Cricetulus griseus: one gene and its partners. The protein of the gene in region 3 purifies or fractionates together with the protein of the main gene of each other region. This does not show direct contact. Links are inferred from orthologs where the notes say so. Each region holds a gene or a part of one and is shown on either strand. Other genes may lie near its edges.

Evidence for each region. The genes of interacting proteins can lie anywhere in the genome.
Region 1: the proteins of Ptpn2 (region 3) and Psmd2 purify together in Homo sapiens (affinity purification with mass spectrometry; 3 studies listed by BioGRID and IntAct, with this or other methods). This does not show direct contact. The link is inferred for Cricetulus griseus from reciprocal best matches to the Homo sapiens genes PTPN2 and PSMD2.
Region 2: the proteins of Ptpn2 (region 3) and importin subunit alpha-5 purify together in Homo sapiens (affinity purification with mass spectrometry; 3 studies listed by BioGRID and IntAct, with this or other methods). This does not show direct contact. The link is inferred for Cricetulus griseus from reciprocal best matches to the Homo sapiens genes PTPN2 and KPNA1.

The regions. Positions count from the first base shown.
Region 1 is NC_048597.1:67,993,235-67,997,252, forward strand, and holds the start of Psmd2 (26S proteasome non-ATPase regulatory subunit 2), read right to left. Parts: upstream 2,807-4,018; coding exon 2,672-2,806; intron 2,285-2,671; coding exon 2,228-2,284; intron 1,960-2,227; coding exon 1,795-1,959; intron 1-1,794. UniProt on the Homo sapiens protein: Component of the 26S proteasome, a multiprotein complex involved in the ATP-dependent degradation of ubiquitinated proteins.
Region 2 is NC_048597.1:53,691,087-53,695,057, reverse strand, and holds the start of importin subunit alpha-5, read left to right. Parts: upstream 1-1,165; 5' UTR 1,166-1,323; intron 1,324-3,971. UniProt on the Homo sapiens protein: Functions in nuclear protein import as an adapter protein for nuclear receptor KPNB1. Binds specifically and directly to substrates containing either a simple or bipartite NLS motif.
Region 3 is NC_048595.1:171,691,513-171,695,585, forward strand, and holds the start of Ptpn2 (tyrosine-protein phosphatase non-receptor type 2), read left to right. Parts: upstream 1-1,268; 5' UTR 1,269-1,376; coding exon 1,377-1,445; intron 1,446-4,073. UniProt on the Homo sapiens protein: Non-receptor type tyrosine-specific phosphatase that dephosphorylates receptor protein tyrosine kinases including INSR, EGFR, CSF1R, PDGFR.

The DNA.
Region 1 (4,018 bases), on a different chromosome or scaffold from region 3:
ATGGCTCAGAGGTTAAGAGCACTGTCTACCCTTCCAGAGGTCCTGAGTTCAATTCCCAGCAACCACATGGTGGCTCACAACCATCCATTATGAGATCTGGTGCCCTCTTCTGGTGTGCAGATATACATGGAAGCAGAATGTTGCATACATAATAAATAAATAAAATGTTAAAAAAAAAAAAGTTTTTAATAAGCTGGGCAGTAGTGGTGAGCACTTTTAATCCCACCCCTCAGGAGGTAGAGACAGGTAGGTCTGAGTTTGAGGCCAACCTGATCTATAAAGCAAGTTGTAGGACAGCCTGGGCTGTTACACAGAGAAACCCTGTCTCAAAAACAAACATACAAAAAGGGTTCAAAAAAAAAAAAACAACAACAACAACAAAAAGACCCATAATCTACAAGTCTGAATAACTGGCTCAACAGTTAATAAAACACATTGCTCTTACAGAGGAACTGAGTTCAGTTCCCAGAACCCATGGAAGGGTTCACAACAGTCTTACTCATCCAGTTCTACGGATCAGTTCTCCGCTTCTAGCCTGCACAGACACTACATACAGGTAGTAGGCATATATCATACAGGCAGGCAAAACACTCATCCACATAAAGTAAAAATAAATCTTTAATAAAAATTTCCACCTGGTGGTGACACACAACTTTAATCCCAGCACTCAGAAGGCAGAGGCAGGTGGATCTCTGACTATGAGGTCAGCCTAGTCTACAGAGTGAGTTCCAGATAGCCAGGGCTACACAGAGAAACCCTATTTAAAAAAAAAAAAAAAAGACAGATGTAGGAGGTCAAGGACAAAAGCAAGCCAATTAGGAGACTACTCAATAATCCACTAGAAATAGACTTCTGGGGCTGGAGAGATGCTCAGAGGTTAAGAGCACCAGTTGCTCTTTCACAGGACCATGGTTCCATAGCCCCAGTGTGCACATAGCAGCTCACAGTGCTTGTAACTCAGGGGTCTGAGGCCCTCTTCTGGATTCCACAGGCACTGAATGCACATACTGCATAAACATACATGCAGGCAAACACCCACACACATAAAATAAAATAAATAATAATTGAAAGAAAAATGAAAACCATGCATACTGGTTTATGCCTCCAAACCCAGCACTCCACAGTCTGAGGCAGGAGGAGGAATGCCACAAATTCACTCCTAGTCCAGGCCACATAGTGAGTGAGTTTGAGGCCAAACTGGGCCACAAGAAATAAATAGGTTAGAGAGGCTGGCAATGGCTCAACAGTTAAGAACACTTCCTACATAATCATGAGGATCAGAGTTCAAATCCTAGCACTGTGATCTAACAAGCCAGGCACACCACAAACACCTCTAAATACCAAGGGTCTCTATGCATGCATAGGTGTGGCCTCTAGGCATGTGCGCACACACACACACACACACACACACACACTAACATATAAACAAAATAAAAAATTTAAAAGTTAGAAACGCATTATGCCAAGAAAACCTCAAGGTCTTCTAAGGAGCTGAGGGGCTAATTCTGATTATCATGAACTTTTGTGCTAGGTCTGGTCTATGAGGCTTTCAGTGACTTACCATGGGTCCGGTTGTCTACTTAAAAAGGGATTTTTCACCCGGGCAGAGGTAGCCCATGCCTTTAATCCCAGCACTTGGGAGGCAGAGGCAGCCGGCTCTCTGTGAGTTCAAGGCCAGCCTGGTCTACAGAGTGAGTTCCAGGACAGCCAAGGCTACACAGAGAAACCCGGTCTCAAAATAATAAAATAACAGAATTCTTCAACTGCACAGACACCCACCATATTCTGAATTACCTTATTCTCCCCAGGGGCCATGTTCTCATAGATTTCCTTCAGTTTGCCATAGTGTGGACGAAGAAATTTTAGAGGCTTGGGTACTGAAGTCATGGAAGTTGTAGAAGAACGAATCTGTCTTCTCAGTTCCTCCAGGGCTGGTCGGTATAGGGATGTATCCTTCTCCTGATCAGGGGATGTCAGGGTTCAGACCAAAAGGAGTCACATTTCTCCATATCACAACCATAAAGACATAACTGGTTCCTATTCCATGATTCCTAACTCCTGTAAATTGCCTGAGACACAGGACGCTATTCAAATATCCTTTGTAACTCTTTTCCCTGGCATCATCATATCTAATATGTGATACCTAGTCGTTGCCTCAAAATGATACAGAGCAAACAAGTGGGAAACATCCAAATATACTCCCCGCTCAGGAAACATCTTGACTCACCCCGAGTCGCTCCACGAGCATCTCCAGTTCATCTTGAAGTTGTTTGTCCTCCTCAGACTGGAAGGTTGAAGGAAGAAGCTCATTAACCCTAATCACATTCTCCTCCCATTCACCCCGGGACAGGTGGAGAGTGCGAATGCACCCCAGGAGGGACAGATGGACAAGAGATGGGAGCAGGACCGGAAGCAACCTTGCTGGAAAGGCAGTCTAGAGCCAGGTAGGCTCTGCTTGGAAGCCGTTCCAGGGTATTATGGCAAAGACCCAGGAAGAGTTGGTGAGGCCCGCAGGGGATGGCAGTGCGTAATGAGGGGGGCATAAAAGCAACGTCTCCCTTTTCTGTGTCTCCCGGCTGCGGTGGGCCGTAGGGAGTCGGGCCCGAGGCCTTCGAGCCAGCAGTGACTCAGCCCGAGGCCTCTTCTCCATGCTCCCGAAGCTGAGCCTCACCAGCTCCTGCTCTTTGTCTTTGTCCCCGGCATCCCGCCGCTCCTTGCCGCTCGACTTCTCGTCCGCGCCAGCCGGGGCCGTCGCTGAGGGTTGTTGGGACTGCACCGGCGTCTTGTCTCGTCCACCCTCCTCCATCTCGGCCACCACTGCCGGCCCGCTGCGCGCGCACCTGCTCGCACCGCCCCTTTTCCCAGACGGCCTCGCGCGTCATCCTCCAGACCGGAAACGCCCAGCGGATTCCGGGCCCCGCCCCCTGAGGCAGGCGGGGTATTACAGTTCCGGCCTCTGGCGCTGGGGACTGCTGTGGCATCTCGACGTCTCTGAGCTGTTAAGAAAGTGCTCAGTGGCGAAACCTAGCTCTCTTCTCCCGTGGCTTCACCACAGCTGGTGCGTGGTGCGACAAACGGACAAGACTCTCGGCGGAGATCTGTGACGGCAGTGTGATTATGTCTAGCCTCACACCATTGTGGAATAGTAACCGCAAAACACACACACACACACCCCGCAAAACACACACACACACACATACACACACACACACACACCGCAAAACACACACGCGCGCGCACACACACACACACCGCAAAACACACACACACACACACACACACCCCCGCAAAACACACACACACACACACACCGCAAAACACACACACACGCACGCACGCGCACACACACACACACACACACACACACACACACACACACACACGCCTCAGTTGAGTGAGTGATACTACCTGAAGCTTACGTGTTTATTAGTACAGGCTAGCCTCAGACTCGCTATATAGCATGACTTTAGACCTCATGGTGCGGCCTCTGCCTAGGGAGTGCTGGGATTACAGGCATGAGCCAGCACCCCTGCTACTGCTCATCTTTAAAACCTATCACTTTTGCACTCAGTGCAGGATTCTACGCATAACCATCCCTTTCCACTGTCAACGACTTCTCCAGCCTTTTGACAGAAATTGGACAGCCCGTGGCTGCTCTGCCTGTTCTGTCTTTAGGATGTCTGTACATTTCCATGCTTGCTTTAGTTCTCTGTAACGAATTTCTACCAGTTCAGTCAGTCGCATACCAATCGATATGTTGGACCTGCACTGGATATTGTGCCATAAAACAGTTTGTCTAACAGCTGATGAGTCCAGATGACGAGTATATGAAAAGTTGTCGGGATATATTACAACTTTTTTGTAAGTATAAATTGTTTTGAAATAAAAACTTGAAAAGATGGGGGAACTCAAACTTTAGAAGTTTATGATACTAAAACCAAATTCTGCCATGTACCAGCTGTGTTCTTTGATTAAGCTTCCTAAATTCAGCCTATTTTCACCTATGTGAAATACAAAA
Region 2 (3,971 bases), on a different chromosome or scaffold from region 3:
GGAGGCAGTAACTGAAACAGACCATGGAGGAAATGTGGTTACTCTATCATTCTCAGCTTACTATCTTATACAGCCCAAGGGTGGCACTGTCCACAGTGGGCTGGGCACATCATGAGTTAGGAAAATGCCTCACAGACATGCCCACAGGCCAATCTGATGGGAACCAGTCTCCCATTCAGGGTCCCTCTTACCAGGTGACTCTAGTTTGTGTTAAGGTTATTAAAACCGCCACTGGAGCCAAGACAAACGACCATTGCTTTACCTAGGATTCAGTCAGTGTGGTCCTTTGTCTCCCTCTTTCTTACATTTATAAGGGTGTTGACGCCGTCTGTTGCTCTTCAGTATTCCTTTTAAACAGACTCGTTAAACCATGTCCTGTGTGTGAAATTCTTCAGTGACCTCTGCTTGGCTTGCTTAAGGTGTTCTTTTGAAGCCACAACCCTACTCTCCAGAAAGAAAAACAATCATTTTCCTAAACATTTTGTTTGAGAGAACTTACTCAGATCAATGCCAATGTTTTTACTAAAAATTAACATCATCGAGCCAAGGTGTTCCTACGTAGTAGTCATGCCGGTCTAGAACTTGCCATTCTCCTGCCTCAGCCGTCCCAGTGCTGAGTGGTGTGCTAACGATCCAGGCTCAAAAATTATTTTGTTAATGTTTTATGGGACTAATAAATTACTAGGCAAAATGGGAGAGAGCCGAAGAGAATACCCAGAAGGTTCCCACAAACGAGTGGCGTGTGAATTCTTTGAACGTGAGGCACTGACGTATTTCGCGATACTCCCTCAGCCTCCAACCATGCCATCGTTCATCCAATAAGCGCGCTCGGTGTGTGAGGCACCTACCATGTGAGAGGGTGGCTATGGAGATGTGAGGTGTGTGGGGAGGGCGGTATCCGTCCATTCTAGAAGAGCTTAGTAAGGACACGTTTGTCTCCATAACTTGTACGTGTCTTTACTTTTCCGGACTGCAAACCTCGTTCTCAGAGACCCACGCCCTGGCCGCGTCCACTCGGGAAAGAACGCTTCAGAGACTCCGCTTCCCGGCAGCCCCTGCGGCGGGCGGCGGAAAGGCGCACGCAGGCGCGCAGGCCGGCCCCCGCACGCAGGCGCACTGCGCACGCCGGCTGAGCTGGGTCTCGCGGCTCGGTGCGCGGCGGCGGCGCGGCGGCGGCGCGGGCGGCGGCGAGAGCGAGGCCTGGTGAGCGCCGCCGTGGTGCGCGCCGGCCGGTCAAGGTTGTGCGCGGAAGAGGCGCAGCGGGCCGACAAGAAGCGAGCGTCTCACCCTCACGGCGGCACCGGGACCGGTCGCCTGGAGCCGGTGAGTGGGGGGCTTCCCCGCGGCCCCTCCCCCTCGGCGGGCGGCTCTGGTTCCCTCCGGGGACCCGAGGGAGGCCCCGGGGCGAAGGCGGACGCGGGCGCCGGCCGGGAGCTGTCGCTGTCGCGCCGGGGACCGGACCTTCGCGTCGCTCCGGTGCGTCACGGGACTGGCGGTTCTAACGGCCCGCGCGGCGGCGGCGGCGGCGGAGGAGCGGGGTGGGGGTGGGGAACGCCGGTCGGGGCGGGGCGGCGGTGGAAGCGGCGTCGGGGACTGCGGGGCGCCGGGCGGCGGCGCGGAGTCTGCGCGCCGCGCTAGGCTGAGGGCGGGGGCGGAGGCGGGTGTCGCGGGGTGCGGTGGCCGAGGCCCAGGCGTGCGGGGCCGTTCCGGGAGTTGGCAGGTTACCGCCCGGGCCGGTGTTTGGAGGGAGGCGGTGGGGGTGGAGACGGGAGGCTGCAGTTTACAGATGTCATAACTACGCGGGCCTGGAGCTGCTGACGGGGGTGTGGTAATTATAGCAATGACAACTTGGTCGTCTGTGTGAGCGGTGATGCGAGGGAAACCGCCAAGCGTTAGCTGAAGCTCGCAGTGGGAGCAGAAAACTGGAGGGCGACTGAAGTCAGGGATGTCGGCAAGAAAGAAGGAGAGGGTTGAATGCGTGCGATCCTCTTGGCAATGAAAAGTTTCAAATGAATTGATTTTCTTTTTAAGGCTTAAACTTCGGTTTGGTAAACTAGTATCAGAATCAACAACGGAGAAATGCTTTTGAAATTCTGTGTGAAACACTAACATCTATCCTTTTTTTTTCCCCTTAAAACAGTTCCTTCAAATCCCACCTCCCTGTCACTCTCCCCCCCCCCCTTTTTTTTTTTTTTTTTTGAGGATGGGTTTTGCTTGGTAGGCTGTCTTTGTGCTTGTCCTGGCTTCTTGGGTGCCAGGATTTCCATCACCCTAGATGATATTCCCACGTTCTTGTTGCTTTGTTGCCTTTTCTTTGTTTTTGAGACAAGGCTCACTATGTAGTCATGGCTGGACTAGCACTGGATACATTGCCCATGGTTGTCTTGAATTCAGAACTGTCTTCCCTCAGCCTCTCAAGTGCTGGGGTTTTAGGAACAACAGCATGCCTGATTGACTCATACAAATTCTGAGACAGGGTCCCTTTACATATTCCTCCTAGAACTCACATGTAGACCAGGCTGTCTTTGAACTTAGAGATCCACCTGCCCCTGACTCGTGAAATTCTGGAATTAAAGACATGTACTGTCACGCCTCCATTGTTTTTTTTTTTTTAATGTTTTAACTTTTTTTTTTTAAAGAATTATTTATTATACAGTGTTCTGCCTACATGTATGCCTGCAGGTCAGAGAGGGCACTAGATCTCATTGCAGATGATTGTGAGCCACCATGTGGTTGCTGGGAATTGAACTCAGGACTTCTGGAAGAGCAGGCGGTGCTCTTATCCTCTGAACCATCTCTCCAGCCCTCACACCTCCGTTTTAAAGTTTACAAGGTCTAAATTTTGAAAGGAAACTGAGAGTGATTTGTCTGTAATTTTGGTGAAATAACTTATTTTTTGTTACCTTTTTATGTAATGTTTTTGGATGGGTGATTTAAAATAAGATGGAGGTCTGAGAGGAAGTAAAATAAAACAAATTTACAGTAACTTTGAACTAGATGTTAACTTTTCCTAGTATAGATGAAAGCATGGAAGAGCACAGTATTTTCAGAATAGCTTGTTTCTTAAACATATTTTGCTTATTTTTTATGAATGTGAGTGTTTTGCCTGAATATATGTAATGCATCATGATCGTGCCTGGTGCTTACAGAGGGCAGAGAGGGATTTAGATCCTTTGAAACTGAACTTGCAAAGGGTTTGAGCTGCACTACGGGTGCTGGGAACCAAACATGGGTCTTCTTCAAAAGCAGCAAGTGCTCTTAACTGCTGAACCATCTCTCTCATTCAGAAATCACTGGAAGAAGATGGCATAGCTCTTGAAATCTTAGTCGTAGGGAATCAAATTGTTACTCATTGACTATAAAGAGTAAGAGCTAGGGCCGGGCGTTGGTGGCGCAGGCCTTTAATCCCAGCACTTGGGAGGCAGAGGCAGGCAGACCTCTGTGAGTTCGAGGCCAGCCTGCTCTCCAGAGCGAGTGCCAGGAGAGGCTCCAAAGCTACACAGAGAAACCCTGTCTCAAACAACAACAACAACAAAAAAAAAACAAAAACAAACAAACAAAAAAAAGTAAGAGCTAGTAGCTTGTGCCAATAATACTAGCATAGCAAAGCCTAGTATGGGGCAGGAGTGTAGCATGCCAGAGGCCTGGAGTTGACCGCACACACAATTTTACAAAGAGCCTGACAAAATCAACCCTGAAAAACCTCCAGTAAAGTAATGAGAATAAAGATATTACTTGAAATCAAATATTTGGATTATGCTTTTTTTCTTTCTTTTTGAGACAGGGTCTCTCTGTAGACTCAGCACCCTTAGAACTTTGTAGAGAAGTTGGACTCAAAGTCACAGATACCCACCTGCCTTTGCCTTGAAAGTTCTGGGAATAAAAATGTGTCTCACTATGCCAGGCTATTATGCACATTTTATTTTATTTTCTTGGGGCCAGGGATCCATTTCCTAGACTTACACATACTG
Region 3 (4,073 bases):
GAGTTTGTGAGTTTGAGACCAGCCTGGTCTATAAGAGCTAGTTCCAGGACAGCCTCCAAAACCACAGAGAAACCCTGTCTCTAAAAACTGGGCTTTGGTGGCGCACGCCTTTAATCCCAGCACTTGGGAGGCAGAGGCAGTGGATCTCTGTGAATTTGAGGCCAGCCTGGTCTCCAGAGCGAGTGCTAGGATAGGCTCCAAAGCTACACCGAGAAACCCTGTCTCGAAAAACAAAAACAAAAAAAACCAAAAACAAATCCCAGCATTTAGGATGTAGAAGCAGTAGGATCCCAGGTTGGAGGTTGGGCTGCTTTTTGAAACCATTTCAAAACAAAACAAACCAACCAAAAAAATCCACCCCCCCCCAAACCAAACAACCCAACCCCAAACATCCAAAACCAAATAATCTTCTTGGATGACACAAACGACCTACTTGTGCCTTAGGCCACGGAAGGCAGTCACTAGCCACATGAGGCTATGAGCAAAAGTGCCGGATGGACACCAAGAAATGGGATCGCTGTATTTAGGGCTTTTGTTCCTCGCCCTCAGTGCTGGGGGATGAACACGGAGCTTCACCGAATTCATAATTTCTTAGCTGAGTTAATTGTAGATCTAGTGAAAAGGCCCAGAAGCATCCTTCATATTTCTGAAGATTATCAGATGGTAAGATTTTTAAGCACATGAGTTCACCAACATTGAGTTATCACAAAGCTGAGGCAAAACGATTTCCGGAGCCAGGCATCTATTTCGTAGAAGGGGATTTAGATGTGCTTTGAACAGACAACACTAACTTTGGAGCTGTGAGTCTTATTCTAAACAAGACACTCTCCCAAATGCTTTCTCTTTTCCTATAGAGCTTTGTTTGGCACAAAACTTATCCGGGATGACATCACCATAACGTGTTCCAAAGTTGAACACATGCTATTAGACTAACCTAGATGGTATTTAAATAGAACTCATACTGCATTAAAAAAAAACTTGAAGACTAAGAAGAAAAAGAACTGGAGCGGCGAGGAAGACAGAGCTGGCCGGTGACATTCCAAGGAACTTTCTCACCTCCCCGGGCAGACACCGTTCAACGTAGTTCCAGGGTGGCGCCCGGCCCCGCCCCTCCCACCTGGGCACTCTCCGGACCACGCCCCCTCGCGATCGCCCCTCCTCCGAGACGTCCAACACACGCGGCGCCCAGGCGACGCGCTGACGTCCGACGCTCCAGGTACTTTCCCCAAGGCCGGCTCGGATCAACGTGGGGGCGGGGCGGGGAGCGGAGCGCGCATGCGCCACAGCGCCACAGCGCCAGCGCTCTCCCCGGATAGAGCGGGGCCCGAGCCGCTCTGCTGTGGTGGTTCCGCTCTCGCTCGCGCTCTCCCGCCGCCATGTCGGCCACCATCGAGGAGGAGTTCGAGGAACTGGATGCTCAGTGTCGCTGGCAGCCGTTATACTTGGTGAGTCTCTGGCCCGCGCGGGGTCTGAGTCTTCCGAGGATCCGAGCTCGCGCCTGCCGGCTCCGTGTCGCCTCCCCCGCCTCCCGTTCGGGCGGAAGTGGCGAGCGCGGGCCGCGTCAGGGGCGCGCCTGCGCGGAAAGCCCTCACCCCCCTTTGCGAGGCTTTAGACGGGAAGCATCGAGGTGGCTGGAAGCTGTTGGTTGTGAAGGCGGCGCCACAGCGGCGCCTGCTGGCTGCGCGGCCCGGCCCCGGCGTGTAGTGCGCTGGGTGGAGGGTCGAGGGACCCCGGGAGCGGGGTGACACAGTCTCCGCTTGCTCGTCGACAGCGTCCTTGTCGGCCGGTGTTCGGTGGCCGAGCGCGTTGGTAGCCGGTGCAGCGCAAAGGGCGAGCAAGCCCTGTGATCGGAGCCAGCCCGGGCGAAGCGGGGTCTTGGTGACTTGCTGTGTTCTCGGGGGCCTGTGGCGATAGCAGAACCGGAGCTAAAGCGGTGGCGAAAGCTCCCAAGGGATTGGGGATCGTCAGTCCTTTTTTTTTTTTTTTTTTTTCTTTTTTTCATGGGCTGCTTTCTCCCGGAGAGTGGGGTCATCGTATGCTAGAGCTTCCCGGAACAGAGGCTTTGGTTTTATTATCAGTGACTAAAGTAGCGTCCTCTTTAAAAAATGTCCTTTGCTTAGGCATACTTTACAGATGTGTATATAGTGCACCGCAGATCTTTATATGAACTTTGCTTTTGGGCGCGTTTCCCAAATGAGTGCCCCCGTGGTTGAAGCGCTCACTCTTTCGGCCCCAAAGAGGCCACATGTCCATAGGCTGCCCCTGTTTTCTGTCGTCAGAGAATAACCTTACCTATTGTGCTCGTACTAAAGTAGTCTGTACTATGAACGCTTGTGACTACGTTTTTTCAGCTAGTGGCTTACCTTTTAATACAGGCAAAACTTTACTACCCTTAAAAATGATTCGTTGCTAATCATTAACATTGCTCCCAAGATGGAATTTAGTGATTGGTGAGTTATTAAATATGTCTTCCTATGTTTTGGCTTATTCCTACAGTAAAATTGAAGCTAGAAAGCTTTCTTTTACCTCCGGATGATTCTTTTTTTTTTTTTTTTTTTTTTTTTTTGACTTATTTCTTCTTCTATCCCACTGTGAGACAGGTTCTTGGTCTGTAACTCTAGCAGGCCTGGAACTAGCTTCGTAGACCAGCCTGACCTTGAACTCACAAATCCCACCTTTGCTTCCTGAGTGCTGGGATTAAAGCCATGTGCCACCACATCTGGTTAGAACATTTTCTTAAACACTTTAGCATAATCAATATATTAAACATTCTGATTTGCCAGGTTCAGCATAGAATAAGGCACTAGTTATTATTATTTACTACTACTACTACACGGGAGGAGGGCAGTCCCCTTGGCATTTGTGTAGAGGTCATAGGACAACTTTCAGATTTTAGTTGTCTTGTAGTATGTGTATCCTAGAAATAGAACTTGGGTCATCAGGCTTGGAAACAAATACCTTTTACCCCCTGAGCCATCTTTCCAGCTAATATGCTAGTTTCTAAAGAATGTTAGTGAGGACGCTTCCCATTACAGAATCTGTGTTATACTATGTTTTGTTTTGTGACAGGGTCTCATTGTAGCTCAGACTGGCCTTGAACTCTGATCTCAGATTTCCACTGTCAAAGTGCTGGGATGAATGCAATTGTAGAAAACTTAAAAACAACTTATTTTTATTTTATTTGAATTGGTGTTTGCATGTATGTCTGTGTGAGGATGTTGGATGCCCTGAAACTGGAGTTACAGACAGTTGTGAGCTGGCATGTGGGTGCTGGGAATTGAACACTGGTCCTTTGGAAGAGCAGCCAGTGCTCTTAATTGCTGAGCCATCTCTAGCTTATAGAAAATCTTAAATGCAAATTCTAGTCTGTTTTCTCTCTCTCTCTCTCTCTCTCTCTCTCTCTCTCTCTCTCTCTCTCTCTCTCTGTGTGTGTGTAAAATAATAGTAATAATCAATTTTAAAGGGCTAATATTACAACTAAATTTAGCCTAACATTTATTTTTTTGAGACAAAGCCTTGCTTCATATTGCAAACAGGCCTGAAATTTACTATGTAGCCCTACTAGGTTTAGATTTGTAGCAGTTCTTCGGCCTCACACTCCTAACTGAAAGGAGCCAACATACTTGACTTAATTGGATATTCAAATGTTTAACATTAATGTCCTTGGGAAATCAGTGAAAGTTGTGACCGATCTTAACAGAAAAAAAAGCACACTCTGGGTGTGGTGGCTCAGCCTGTAACCTAACAATTAGGAGGCTGAAGCAGGAGGATTGTTGTTATTCCCCCCCTCCCACCTCCCCAGACAGGGTTTCCCTGTGGCTTTGGAGGTTGTCCTGGAACTAGCTCTTGTAGACCAGGCTGGTCTTGAACTCACAGAGATCCTCCTGCCTCTGCCTCCCAGGTGCTGGGATTAAAGGCATGCACCACCACTGCCCGGCGATTGTTGTGATTTTAAGACTAGCCTGTAGCTGGGCATTGGTAGTCCATGTCTTTAATCCCAGCAGAGACAGGCAGCTCTCTGAGTTTGAGGCCAGCCTCGTTTACAGAGTGAGTTCCACAACATCCAGGACTAT